3 linked regions of the Callithrix jacchus genome follow. The protein of the gene in region 1 purifies or fractionates together with the protein of each later gene. This does not show direct contact. Links are inferred from orthologs where the notes say so. Each region holds a gene or a part of one and is shown in the gene's direction. Other genes may lie near its edges.

Evidence for each region.
Region 2: the proteins of POMK (region 1) and CANX purify together in Homo sapiens (affinity purification with mass spectrometry; 3 studies listed by BioGRID and IntAct, counting the BioPlex papers as one, with this or other methods). This does not show direct contact. The link is inferred for Callithrix jacchus from reciprocal best matches to the Homo sapiens genes POMK and CANX.
Region 3: the proteins of POMK (region 1) and LRP6 purify together in Homo sapiens (affinity purification with mass spectrometry; 3 studies listed by BioGRID and IntAct, counting the BioPlex papers as one, with this or other methods). This does not show direct contact. The link is inferred for Callithrix jacchus from reciprocal best matches to the Homo sapiens genes POMK and LRP6.

Annotation. Positions count from the first base shown.
Region 1 is NC_133514.1:44,881,356-44,885,666, forward strand, and holds the start of POMK (protein O-mannose kinase), read left to right. Parts: upstream 1-1,417; 5' UTR 1,418-1,758; intron 1,759-1,877; exon of another isoform or gene 1,878-1,936; intron 1,937-4,311. UniProt on the Homo sapiens protein: Protein O-mannose kinase that specifically mediates phosphorylation at the 6-position of an O-mannose of the trisaccharide (N-acetylgalactosamine (GalNAc)-beta-1,3-N-acetylglucosamine (GlcNAc)-beta-1,4-mannose) to generate phosphorylated O-mannosyl trisaccharide (N-acetylgalactosamine-beta-1,3-N-acetylglucosamine-beta-1,4-(phosphate-6-)mannose).
Region 2 is NC_133503.1:71,973,375-71,977,423, reverse strand, and holds the start of CANX (calnexin), read left to right. Parts: upstream 1-1,587; intron 1,588-1,642; coding exon of another isoform or gene 1,643-1,660; intron 1,661-2,568; 5' UTR 2,569-2,689; intron 2,690-4,049. Other genes in the region: CBY3 (sperm annulus positionning complex subunit Chibby3), read right to left, coding at 931-1,587, 1,643-1,660. UniProt on the Homo sapiens protein: Calcium-binding protein that interacts with newly synthesized monoglucosylated glycoproteins in the endoplasmic reticulum. It may act in assisting protein assembly and/or in the retention within the ER of unassembled protein subunits.
Region 3 is NC_133510.1:11,023,174-11,027,653, forward strand, and holds the start of LRP6 (low-density lipoprotein receptor-related protein 6), read left to right. Parts: upstream 1-1,616; 5' UTR 1,617-1,929; coding exon 1,930-1,984; intron 1,985-4,480. UniProt on the Homo sapiens protein: Component of the Wnt-Fzd-LRP5-LRP6 complex that triggers beta-catenin signaling through inducing aggregation of receptor-ligand complexes into ribosome-sized signalosomes.

The DNA of each region.
Region 1 (4,311 bases):
GTGTAAGCCACTGTGCCTGGCCTACTTTATTTTAAAAAGTTTTTATTAATTTAATAGATTTGTTTGATGATCTTTCTAAATGCCTTCATTCTAAGATATGTCATCATACATGTCTAATACTGCTAGCAGGTTCATGGTTCATTTACACGCACACATATATACACATGTATGGAGAAATACCTATTTATTACCTAAACATTAAAAAATACATATAAGCAAGAACGGAGAATTTAAATTGCCCCAAATTCTACTTATTGGAGGTAACCATTGGAATATATATGTGTATATATATGATTATAAATACATATTTAAAAAAAAAGATTGCTTCCTCTCTTGGCCATATATTATGGATATCCTCTCCAGGATATATATATATATATATATATATATATATATATATATATAGCATAACTTTAAAAACATTGTAGTAAACATTGTAGTAAAAGATACATAACAAAATTTACCATCGTAACAATTTGGAAGTGTACAGTTCAGTGGAATTAGGTATATTCACATTGTTGTGCAACCATCACCCCCATCCATCTCCAGGACTTTACCATCTTCTCAAACTAAATTGTGCACCCGTTAGACAGCAGCATTTTTTTTTTGAGATGGAGTTTTGCTGTTTGTTACCCAGACTGGAGTGCAATGGCACGATCTTGGCTCACCGCAACCTCCGCCTTCTGGGTTCAAGCAATTCTCCTGCCTCAGCCTCCCGAGTAGCTGGGACTACAGGTGCGCACCACCATGCCCAGCTAATTTTTGTATTTTTAGTAGAGACGGGGTTTCACCTCGTTGACCAGGATGATCTCGATCTCTTGACCTCCTGATCCACCCGCCTCGGTCTCCCAAATTGCTGGGATTACAGGCTTGAGCCACCGCGCCCGGCCCCACCCCTATTGTTATATATTTAGGTTTCTTTTTTTCTCTAGTATAAATATCCCTTATCAACAATGCTTCAGCAACATCTCTTGTTCATACATCTTGCAGACATATTATTTCTGAAGGATAAATTCCTAGAACTGGGATTTGCTAGGGCCCGCAGGAGGAATTCCAATTTACACTCACTTGTATGAGTGCAAGGACACTTTCAGACTCTAATGACAGGAGGTGTTACCATTCTTCTTTTGCTCTTTGTCCATGTGACAGGCAAAAGTTGCTCGTACTTTAATACTGTTTGGGTTGCTAGTACAGGTTCCGTCTTTTATCCTACATAGTGTTAGTGTCTTGATTCTGAACTTTCGCAGTGTGTCAGTGTAGAAACAGCTAACAGTTCCGATCTACACAACCCAGACATTCCATGACCCCAGGCTTACTTCGACGCTGCAAGCCTCCCTCTCTGTTCCCTGGAGCAAGCGCCCGAGTGCGTGTGGTGCTCCCGGTCGGCCACTGCTGGCTGTATTCCCTGCCCTTGCCCAGTCCTATTTCTCTGCGGAGGCTTGCCTAGGTCTTGTCTGCTGCGCTTGATGTAGCTCAGCTTTACAGCGTCTGGGCTAAGCCCACAGTTTCCTTTACAGAGCGAGTCTCCAACTTCAGGCGTCTGGGTCCCCGCACAGCGGGTCTGGCTCGGAGTGGGGAATCCGCCTTCCCAGCAAGACCCCTGCTGATGCCGCGGGTCTGAGGACTACGCTTTGGAACCCAAGGCCTCGCAGTGCGTCGAGATCTGACAGCTTCTCTGCACGGGCCTAGCACCAATAGTCGATCAACGCAAAATCGTCTTCGCAAGTTCAGGAAGCAGAAACCAGAGCGGGAGACTGGGTAGGTGCGCGCTGGCACCGTCGCTGCGCTTGCTCCGGCTTCAGTGCACGGTCGGAGGTGGACGCTAGGGGGCAGCAGCGTTGCGCTCGCCCCTAGGCCGTGCTTCCGCCCGCGCAAGCGCAGTAGGACCAGCGCGTGCTGGCCTGGGGTGGCAGGGCCGCAGAGACTTGGGTTGCAGGTAGGTGCTGGGGCGAGGAGGGGCGAGAGGGCCAAGGGGCAAGGGCTTAGAGGGGCGGCAGGGCTCAACGGCGAGGAGCGAGGGGCGAGGGGCTTGCAGCTGGGTTTCCCGCGGGGCCTATACGTGACGCGGCCTGTATCCCCCACAGCACCGGCCGCCTCCACGCGAGCGGTCCGGAGGCTCCCAAGGAGGCTGCGCGGGGTCAGGGCAGCCTCGTCCACCGCGCCCGGCCCCCTCCTCCGCGCCCCGCCCTGCGCTAGAGCTGGACATTAAAGGACCCGACAAGGGCCGGTCGCGATGGCTTCCGCCGGTAATCACAGCGGTTTTGGAGGCCGAGGCAGGAGGATCGCTTGAGCTCAGGGGAGAGCAGCCTGGGCAACATGGCGGAACCCCTGTCTCTATTAAAAAACTTGGCTGGCTGCTGTGGCCCGCCTGTTATCCCAGAGGTGGGAGAATCGCTTGAACCCAGGGGCAGAAGGTTTCAGTGAGCGGAGATCACGCCGTTGCACTCCAGCCTGGGGGACAGAGTGTGAGGCTGTTTCTATTATTTTGTTATTATTTGAGACGGAGTCTCGCTCTGTCGCCCAGGCTGGAGTGCATTGGCTCGATCTTGGCTTCCAGGTTCAATCCATTCTCCTGTCTCAGTCTCCCGAGTAGCTGGGGTTATGGGCACCCATCACCATGCCCGGCTTAGTTTTGTATTTTTGGTAGAGATGGGGTTTCGCCATGCTGACCAGGCTGTTCTCGAACTTCTGGCTTCAGGTGATCCACCTGCCTCGGCCTCCCATAGTGCTGGAATTACAGGCAAGAGCCTGGTGGAGGCTGTCTCTATTTAAAAACAAACAAAACAAAACAAAACGAAAAAACCGGAAAGGACTCCACCTCAGCTCTTTGCCTTTGTGTGTTTATTTTACACGAGATCATTGTTGCCCAGGTGTGTTGTGTAATCATATTCTCTTTTTTAGAAAGCAGAATTTCGCTGTTTTATTGCATAATCTTGTCTTTACCACCCTTCACCTTTACTACAGAACCCTAAAGCTGAATAAACATCCAGAATGTTTAAAATAATCCTCTTAATGTACCTTGTGCTTTATTGGCAAGATGGAATTCTACTCTAAATTGTATTGAATGACACTACTCTGTCTTCTCTAGTTGTAGAACATACCTTGTAAGTCGGTAAAAACTAGTTTTGTTCCTGTGCTTTTCTTTTTTCTTTAAGCTGTAAATGTAGAGCAGTGGATCCCAAGTTTTTCTCTATCAGTAAGTCTTCCTATATGTCGTGCCTGAATTTCTCCTGCCCTATCTGCCCACCTTCTTTATTCCTTAACGTGCAGGCTGTTTTTCAGGACCAGTAAATTTCGGTGATTTTTGCTTGTTTCTGGACGGGAAACTTCCTTCAGCCACACAGCCTCATTCTATGCTCTGGGCGGCCTACTCCAGAATATGCCTCTGAAACAAAAAGCAAATCAGGGGTTGAGGTGGCCTAAAGTCTTCTTTAAGAAATCAGCAGTCCCAGGGTCCCCCAGGCAGCCCCCAGGTGACCACAGTGTGTTTGATTTAGTTCAGCTCCTAAGCATTGCAGAGGAAGAATGGGCTTGAGGCCAGAAAACTTGGCTCTTCTGTGTATAATTTAGTGACCTTGGATATATTACTTCATCTCTGACTCAGTTGTCTTATCTGTGAAATGGGAATAACAATAATTATATTCACCTCACAGAACTGGTGTGAAGTTGATATTCAGATGAATTTTTGGGTATTTTTAAATTTATTTCATTTTGGTTTGGTTTCTTTTTGCTGAGAGGATTCAGAAGTGAATGTGAGAACTTAGGGTTAATAGAAAAGGTTACTGGGGAATATAAAATTTGGATTCAGCAAGAAATGCATTAAAGGTTTTCTGAGTAATGATGAGGGTCCAACGCAGATTAGAAAATATGCATTTCCAGAGTCCTACAGAGTTTTGTATCTGATTTTGGCAGCCTTTGAGTGGAAATGAAGAAGTGGACAGGGCAAGTTACACGGGGCTGGTGAGTGACAGGCAGATCTGGGTTTATGATAAAGCCTCTAGACGCTTTACTTGCACAAATACCTTCCAAAACCCTGGCAAGGGGCTCAGCAGTTTTACATTCATAATTGCGTATTTTTCCCTTAAAGAATTACCGTCCCTTGCCCCCAGTTGTGTAAGCTTCAGGCCCCATAAGACCTGACATCACCCCTAGTGGCAAGGAAGGATTGGTGGGAGGTTAGGCATAAGGAGGGTTGGAGAGTTGAAGGGATTCACCATGGGGTTTGAGCTGGGGAACTCGGATTGGAGAAGGAGGTGGCAGATAAGGGGCCTCATAGGATAGGAACCTTGAGGAGAGGAAGAGCAGATTCGC
Region 2 (4,049 bases), on another chromosome or scaffold:
GTGCTGGGATTACAGCCGTGAGCCACCACGACCGGCCCCAATAAATCTGGATTTTTAATGTGTTATCTCCAAATTCTGAAACCTTGGCAACAAATGCAATTTTTAAGATTGTGGGTAGAGAAGACCGCATTCTATGGAAGCATAAAAGGAGGCCTGTGCTGGGCGCGGTGGTTTACGCCTGTAATCCCACCAGTATGGGAGGCTGAGGTGGGAGGACTGCTTGAGCCCGGAAGGTCTAGGTTGCAGTGAGCCATGATCGCGCCACTGCACTCCAGCCTGGGTGACAGAGCCAGACCCAGTGTTTAGGGAAAAAAAAAAAAAAAAAAAAGGAGGCCTGTAACAGAGACGCAACTCTCCAAAATGCCACACCGGCAAGTGGGGACCGCACAACCCAAGGTTTCGAGAAAGCTTCTCTTGGGAATGTAAAATACACTTACCCTAGGACTCCTAGTTTCTAAACCTCCTGATCCTAGAGGCCCAGAGGACCGACCAAGTGCAAAGCCCCCCCACACTGTTCTCAGCTCCTGCCGCACCGCACCCTCTATTCCCTGAGCGCCACGGTTCCTCCGCCTGCGGGACTTCGCCCTCGGTTACTTGTATGGCTTGCAAGGCCATTACCTGCCACTCCACCCTGTCTGGGCCCTGCCCGAGGCAAGCCTGGCTTCCAGCCCGCGCTCCCGAAGTCACGCGCAGACCCTCCTCCACGGCCCCATCGCACCCTCCCGAGATGCGTTGCTTAGGGTTGCGTCCCCCGCCGACACCCAGCACCGAGGGGCAGTCCCCGAGGCCACGCAGACCGCCCCCGCCCGCACGCAAAACCTCGCCCAGGGAACAGAAACCGCCACAGTCCCTGGCGGGTCAGGGTTAGTCACAAGGAACGAGGCGCGCATGCGCAGCGCGGGCTTTATTACGTCACTGCGAGTCCAGAACTCAAGGCTGGATCCTGAGCACGTCCCCGCTGGCGCCTGCGCGCTTGCGCATCTTCCTCTGTCGGGCGTGCGCTGCAGCAGCCGGAGTCACCTCGAGGTTGAGCTGCTTTTCCAGCAGGTGCATGCGCGCCGTGGTCTCAGTCAGCATATTCATGAGCACTTCCTGCTGCAGCTTCAGGTAGTTGCTCTCCTTCAGCAACACCTGGATCGTGGTCCACTGCTCCTGCGCCTTCCAGCCCGAGACGGTCGGCGCCAAGTGACCCTCCGTTGTCCACCGGCCGCCGCGGAACTCGAAGGCCTGGTTTTCGAGGCGTATGCGCGGCGCGCCGTAGCAGAGGCCCAGCTCGGCCTGGCGCTTGCTGTAATCCAGCAGGTAGGAGGTGGACAGGGAGGAGATGCGGCGCGCTGGCGGCCGCCGTGGCGAGAAGCGCCGCGAGATGTGATCGGCCCAAAACTGCCGCAGCTGCTCCCACACGTGGCTGGCATGGCTCGTAGTCAGGCACTCGAAGGTTGCCATGGCGAGTGCTGGGTGGACCTTGTAGGGCACGCAGGTGCTAGGAGGGGAGCCTCGGGAGTGCTGGCGACTCCCCAGCACTGGCTGCGCTCTTGCCTCGGGAACCTGGATGTCCAGAATGATGAAGGCGAGCCAGAGGGGCTGCTGGGAGGCAAGAGTATGAGTGAGCAGCTTGCTCAATACAGGCTGCCTATCAAACCTCGAGGCCGGTGGACATGGCTTAGCCCTGCAGCTAGGGTTGCGGCTGTGGCTAACCAGGTGCTGGCCACCGAGGAGCCCGTCCCTCCACGCTGCACAGGCAGCCGTCTCACCTAAATCACCTTACCCAAAGACCACTGAGTATCAGGCGCTGGGATAAATATGCAGATGAAGGACGCTAGGAGCGCCCTGTTCTCTTAGTTTCAGCTGGAAGGGTGAGGGGTAGGGAATGGTAGCAGAGACAAGTAGGTATTGAAAGGAGTAGGACTTTGCCAGGTGAGCTGAGGATGGAAAATGGAGAGCAGAAAGGCAGAGGGAAGAGCCAAGCAGGGTTGTTTGTTTATTTGTTTGTTTTTGTTTTTATAGACGTAGTTTCGCTCTTGTTGTCCTGGCTGGAGTGCAATGGCACGGTCTCTGCTCACTGCAACCTCTGCCTCCCAGGTTCAAACAATTCTCCTGCCCCAGCCTCCAGAGTAGCTGGGATTACAGGCACCCGCCACCATGCCTGGCTAATTTTTTTGGTATTTTTAGTAGAGATGGGGTTTCACCATGTTTGCCAGGCTGGTCTCGAACTCCTGACCTCAGGTGATCCGCCCACCTCTCCCTCCCAAAGTGCTGGGATTACAGGTGTGAGCCACCGCACCCGACAGGACTTTCATGTTTCAGATGTGAACACGAGCTTGGATAGGATTGGTGCTGAGAAGAGCAGAAGAGGAAGCTGGGAAGGTGGACCGGGGCACTATGTGAGGGTGCTGCACAGGCAGGCTCAGAAGCTTATACTTCTTTTTGTGTGTAAGAGGGAACTGCTGAAGGCTTACAAAGCTAGGGTTAGATCTGGATTCTGGAAACAATCTGGGAGGGTGTCTAGCATAGCCAACAGCATGATTGCCCTCATCATTCAGTCAACTAGCATATTCTCTGTGCCAGGTCCTGGTCTTGGAAGGAGGACCTGAAACAGCCTCTGCCTGCCCTCAAGATGCTCCTGATCCAGCTTGGAAGACAGATGCCTGTGTAGACCACGGTCCAGTGTGTTCACTGACATCCTAGGGTGTGTGCCATGGGCTAGAGCTATGCATAGGGCTCAAAGTAACAGACATGACAGATTGTGCACACTAGACATGACTTTTGTTCCAAACATATTATGTCCTAAGGGAATCCAAAGTCCAGATAACAGACAAGTCCCATTTTGCTCACTTCTCCCTGTACTCCCCTGCCCAGTAAGTGCTGATTCTATTATGTGAAAAAGGGAGCTATGTGTTTTTGTTTGTTTGTTTTTGTGATGGAGTCTCGCTCTGTAGCCCAGGTTGGAGTGCAGTGGCATGATCTCAGCTCACTGCCACCTCTACCTCCCGGGTTCAAGCAATTCTCCTACTTCAGCCTCCCTAGTAGCTGGGACTACCTGCACATGCCACCACGCCTGGCTAATTTTTTGTATTTTTAGTAGAGATGAGGTTTCACAGTGTTAGCCAGGATGGTCTCAATCTAACTTTGTGATCTGCCCGCCTTGGTCTCTCAAAGTGCTAGGATTACAGGCATGAGCCAACACACCTGGCCAAGGAGTTATATGTTGTTTTTAATTTCTCTTCTGCCCATGGACAGTGAGAAGAAAAAGAATTTGAGCAGGCTTCCCTCTTATACCTTCGTTAATTCATAACACACTTATCCCTCACGTATAGCTGGGCAGAGGCTGGATGGTACATGCCATCCCCAAGATGTGGTTTAGGGAGATGGTCTCTGGAAGTCCACATCTAGGCCCACCCTTGAGATTGCATCTTGTCAGAGGACCCTTCCCCATTAGTTCTCACTGTATGTTGTGCCTCACCTGGAAGATGTGGTGGAGTTGCTGAGCTCCTGTCCCAGGCCTGGCTCCGTCTCTGACCCACTCAGCTAGTGTCTACCTGCTATGACTCACAATGCCTCCAGGCCAGGCTATCCCAGGTCAGAAGGGTTGCTGAATGCTGAGCTGTCAGACAGACCCAGGGCTCTCTGCTGCATGCATTCAGTGCATCATTCATCACGTACTGTTTTCTAGGAACAATTCTAGGGAAGTGAAGAAGATATTGCCCTCATTAAGCTGTCATCCTTGGCAGGGGAATGAAGGGGGTGGTCATAAGCAGAGTCCAAGACAGGAATTTGTTCTAGAGGAACCAATAAGATAGTTTCTGAGGAAGCTAACAGAGGGTGTCATGGGTCAGGTTCCCTAGAAGCAGAGCCTAAGATGATCATTCTTGCTCGAGTGAATTATTGGGGAAGTGCTCTCAGGAGAAGAGGGTGAGGGAAGCAAGACAGGGCAGGGAAAAAGGCTAAGGCTGAGGCAGAGTGTGGTCTCACATAGAGACTAGCTTCCGCTTGCTGTCATGGAGAACTGTGAGCACAAATGGCATCACACTTAGGCCTCCTTAAGGCAA
Region 3 (4,480 bases), on another chromosome or scaffold:
CATGGCAGTGTGTTTTGCTTTTCTTCTCCCCTTCACCCACATTTGGCATTTCTCCCCAGGCTATCCCTCCCCACCTCCCCCTCCCACTGGCCCTCCCCTTTTCCCCCCAATAGACCCCAGTGTTTAGTACTCCCCTCCCTGTGTCCATGTGTTCTCATTTTTCATCACCCACCTATGAGTGAGAATATGCGGTGTTTCATTTTCTGTTCTTGTGTCAGTTTGCTGAGGATGATGTTCTCCAGATTCATCCATGTCCCTACAAACGACACGAACTCATCATTTCTGATTGCTGCATAATATTCCATGGTTAAAGTTGTTTTTTACTCAGGATATGGGGTAGCAGTTGCACCGTTGTATAGGCCAGTGGGCCCTGTTTCTCAGAAAATTGGTTACAAAGATGCCAGGCGTTTCAAACCACAAGCTTTCAGAACAGAATGCCTTACATAGCTCAGGGTGGGCAAGATAGCTCAGGGTGGGCAAAATGGAGTTAGCAGGATTGTTTAAAATGTATTCATTACAGCCAAGCTAGGGTATTTCAGTAACACTGTGGTAGCAGCTTCACTTTCTTGCCCATCTGCCTCCAGGTAAGGGCGTGTGTCAGCTGGGCAGGATGCATCTGATGGCTTCATTAGGGTTAATTCTTGGAGCGCCTCTGCCCAGACTGACGCCTGGCAGGTGATTTCAGGAGGCGTCTGGGCCATTATTCCTGAATGCCCAGTGCATTGGGAGCGGCAGAGGCTGTGTACAGTCTTGAGATTGGTGAATCCTTTCCTTCTCAAGCTGATAATTGATCATCAAAGCATGCCAAACATTCGTTATTATATGCAACTTATGAAATCTTAAATAGTTTTGTCCAATTGTCCCTTTTTTCTGTCTTAGGTTTTGACGCATATATCTTGAAATTTTATTTGTCAGTTTAGAAATCTTTAGTGTTGGGCGGGCTTAATTCTGAAATTTTATTTGTCAGTTTAGAAATCTTTAGTGTTGGTCGGGCTTAATCCAGTTTGTACTTCTGGGAAGGCAGGAGAGAAATAACAATCTCAGTTTTGAATTGGCGTTTTAACATCCTTCACCAGATCCACGTTGAAAGCCAGTGTAACCAGCGTTCAAGAACTCCAGCCCCAAAAAAGAGGATGCTGAAACCCGTTTCCAACCCCGAAGACGGAGCTGATCTCGCCGCAACGGGATCCGCCGTGGCTCCCCTCGCGTGCACCGCGGCTGGGCCGTCCCAGGTGGCTGGGGGCGCGGGCCCGGAGCCCAACCTGGCGCTGCCGACGGCGGCCGCACAAAGACCGGAGCAGACGGCTGCCTGGCAGAGCCGCAGAAAGTAGTCCCGACCACGCCGGCTCCAATGTTGTTCGGTCCCGCCTCACGCCCTCCGCGGGGAGGGCCGAAGCGGCCGGTCCGGGAAAGAATCCCGCTGGAATGCGCCGCCGGCCGGAGGCCTTCCCTCGCCAGCTCGCCTCTGCTACCCCAGCACCTCTGCAGGAATCTTACGCCGAGGCCGTGCGTGCGGTTGCCGACTCCTTTCCCCAGCCGTGCAGGAGGCAGCGCCGGGGGAGGGGGCTCGCCGTGCGCAGGGACACGTCTTCGTTCCGAACCTTGGAGGCGGCGCCGGCCGTATCCCTGCGCCGCTGCGCGAGGCAGAGGCTGAATGAGGAGCTGCGCGGGGGAAGCGGGGCGCCGGGGGAGGAGGCGGCGGGATGGAAGCAGACGCTGGCGTCGCGCGAGCCTGGGGCCGAGCGACGCGGTAGAGAGGGCGGCGGCGGCGCGCGCGGAGCCTTGACGTGCCCCTTTCTTTCTTCTCTCGGTGGGAAGCTGGGAAGCATGAGCGTGCAGTCCTGCCGCTGCGGCGGCCGCCCCGGCTCCTCGCCTCCCCGTCTTCTTGCCGCCCCTCGCCGGTGAGAGAAGAGAACGCGAGAAGGGAAGATGGGGGCCGTCCTGAGGAGCCTCCTGGCCTGCAGCTTCTGTGTGCTCCTGAGAGGTGGGAAGAGTGGGGGCACTGGAAAGTTGGTGGGGTTCGGGGGGAGGTGGCCTGGTTTTGTGTGTCGGGGGGGGGAGGGGAGGGACAGAGGGAGTGAGAAGGGGAGAGGAGCCGGGAGAGGCCTGGTCGTGGGGATGGGGAGAGAGAAAGGGGCCCGGGAGCAGGGGCTGCGCGCACCGCCCGGCCACAATGCGGACCTGGCCTGGCTTCCCAGACCTTCCCGGGACACATCGGAGCCTCGATCCCGACGGCTGGTCTTACGGAACCCCTGGCACCCCATTCTGTCGGGATGACTGAGTGTCTGTGTGCCTCTCTCTGCCTGGGGTCTTTGTACGTATTTTGGCTTTTAAAATGTTTGAGCCCGAGATGCTTTAAGGTTGACCCTCTCCCTCGAAGTCCTCCCCACATCCACCACCCCCCACCCCGTTTCGGTGTTTCTTAGGTGAACTTTTAAAGTCCTCTGTTTTTTCCAGGCCTTGTTACAGGTAATAATTGGCTTCCGTTTGGGATATAATGATCCTGGGTGAGAGCGCAGTTGGAAAGTGACTTTTGGGTTATAGGTCGAGCGTTTCAGCATTGGGAACCTTCTGAGCTTCAGCCCGTAATAAAATAGAAACACTGCCCTTGTAACCTCTGGTATACACGGCTTGCCCCTATTTTCGGAGTATACAAGTGTCCAGTTGGCACTAAGTAGGAAATTCATCCTCTTGTGAAGAGGAGCCGGTCCTGGGACCAAAATGATCATTTTCTCTACACTCCTGGGGACTGCTTGGCATTTTGGTAAATTGCATAGGCTATTCTAGATAATTTGCTCTGGGAATCGCCTGAGTTCGATGGTACTAGGATGTTTTGAATTGGCTGCAAAGCTGGCACATGCTCTGTGACTTCTGTTTTGTGACAGTTCGCAAAGATTTTTGACTGGCCCGTAGGCAGCTCTCCTCTAACTACTTAGTGTTGAACTTGAGATGGCTGTGATGCTGTGGAGCATTTACCAGCAGAGGAATTTAAGTACTGCTTCATGCAGTGGCTTGTAGTTTTGGTTTGTTAAAATTCTCACTGGTGTTGATGATAAGTTCTTTTCAGGCGTGGGACCGCTGGTCTGGAGATTTTTAGGTATTAACAAGCTAAACTTTTGTTAAGTCCTCCAAAACAGACTAAGTTTACAGAACGCGATAGTAACTAATAATGTATGACAGGTGTATATTTTTGGGTGTACCGTGTACATGTATTTTGGATGAGAATGATTGACTTTTTTTTGAGAAGTATGTTCTTCAGTTACTCTGTAGTAGTGCAGCATTGTGTTTGCATATTGTATTATACTTGATACTCTAAGCATATTACAAACTTTCCCCACATGTAAACCCCAGAAAAGGGAGTGCTCATTAGATTTTTGTGGCAGAAAATTCAATGGAGTGTTATGTACTGGAGAGGTTTAATAAGTATATACTTATTTTATTATGTTATACTCTCAGTTGAAAGGGGTTTTGCTATAGCTGTTAGAAACAACTATATTTGACATAAGAATATGTGTATATTTTAAGACACAAGGTTAATAGGGTTGACATATGAGAACCAGCTGATTAGTTAGAGTCATGGGGAAACCTGTAACTTGGGATATTTCTGGTTGCCTGGTTATATTTCTTGGAGAAGAAGTGTGTGATGTAAATGCTGTTTGTTTGTTTTAACACCAGCTTTGAGACCAGAGCTGGGTTTGTTCATTATTGGAATTTAGATAGGTTGCACTTTTAGTGATATGTTTTGAAATATAACATTATGTAACAAGAACTGGAAGAGGTAATAGTTGAAATTGTCTTATTTCCTTTAGCAGAGTTTTCAGAAGTGGAGCTCCTGTTTTAAATGTGGCAAAATAATGGTGTAAGGTGGTCTATTAATATGTAACAGTACTGTACTTAGTGCGACTACATATAATTTGAAGTAAAACTATCTTTTGATGTAGAAGATTTTTGTTCATAACTTAGAATTCATTCTTTGAGAATGTCATCCTCTGTTATAGTAATGATGTTTAGTCAACCTTGGGCTCTAAAGAGAAAAATCTGATTGATTTGTTGCATTTAGATCATTTTTTTCCCACAAATAATTGGATCTTTAACATTGGGTTAGTGTGATGTGGGGTATCTGAGAGTTTGGGGGAGACCGTCTGTCCCGTAGCCCTGCTGAATCAATAGCTGAAAGCCAGGGAATACTGTTAGTGCTTCCTCCTTATCTCTGTTAATCACGTGACAAGATATAAAGGAAAGATTGGGGAATTTCAACACTAAAATCTTGGATTTAAAGCTCGAGCGTCACTACTTCATAACTTTGTGGTTCTGGTCTAGTCCACTTCTCTAGGTCTCAATTTCTTTACTGGTAAAATGTTGATAATGATACTTGACTATTTTACAGGGTTACTGGGTATTTTAAATGAAATAATATAAAGTACCTTGTAATGTTACTTTTGTTATAATTTTTGCTTGTTCAGGGACATATATTCAAATG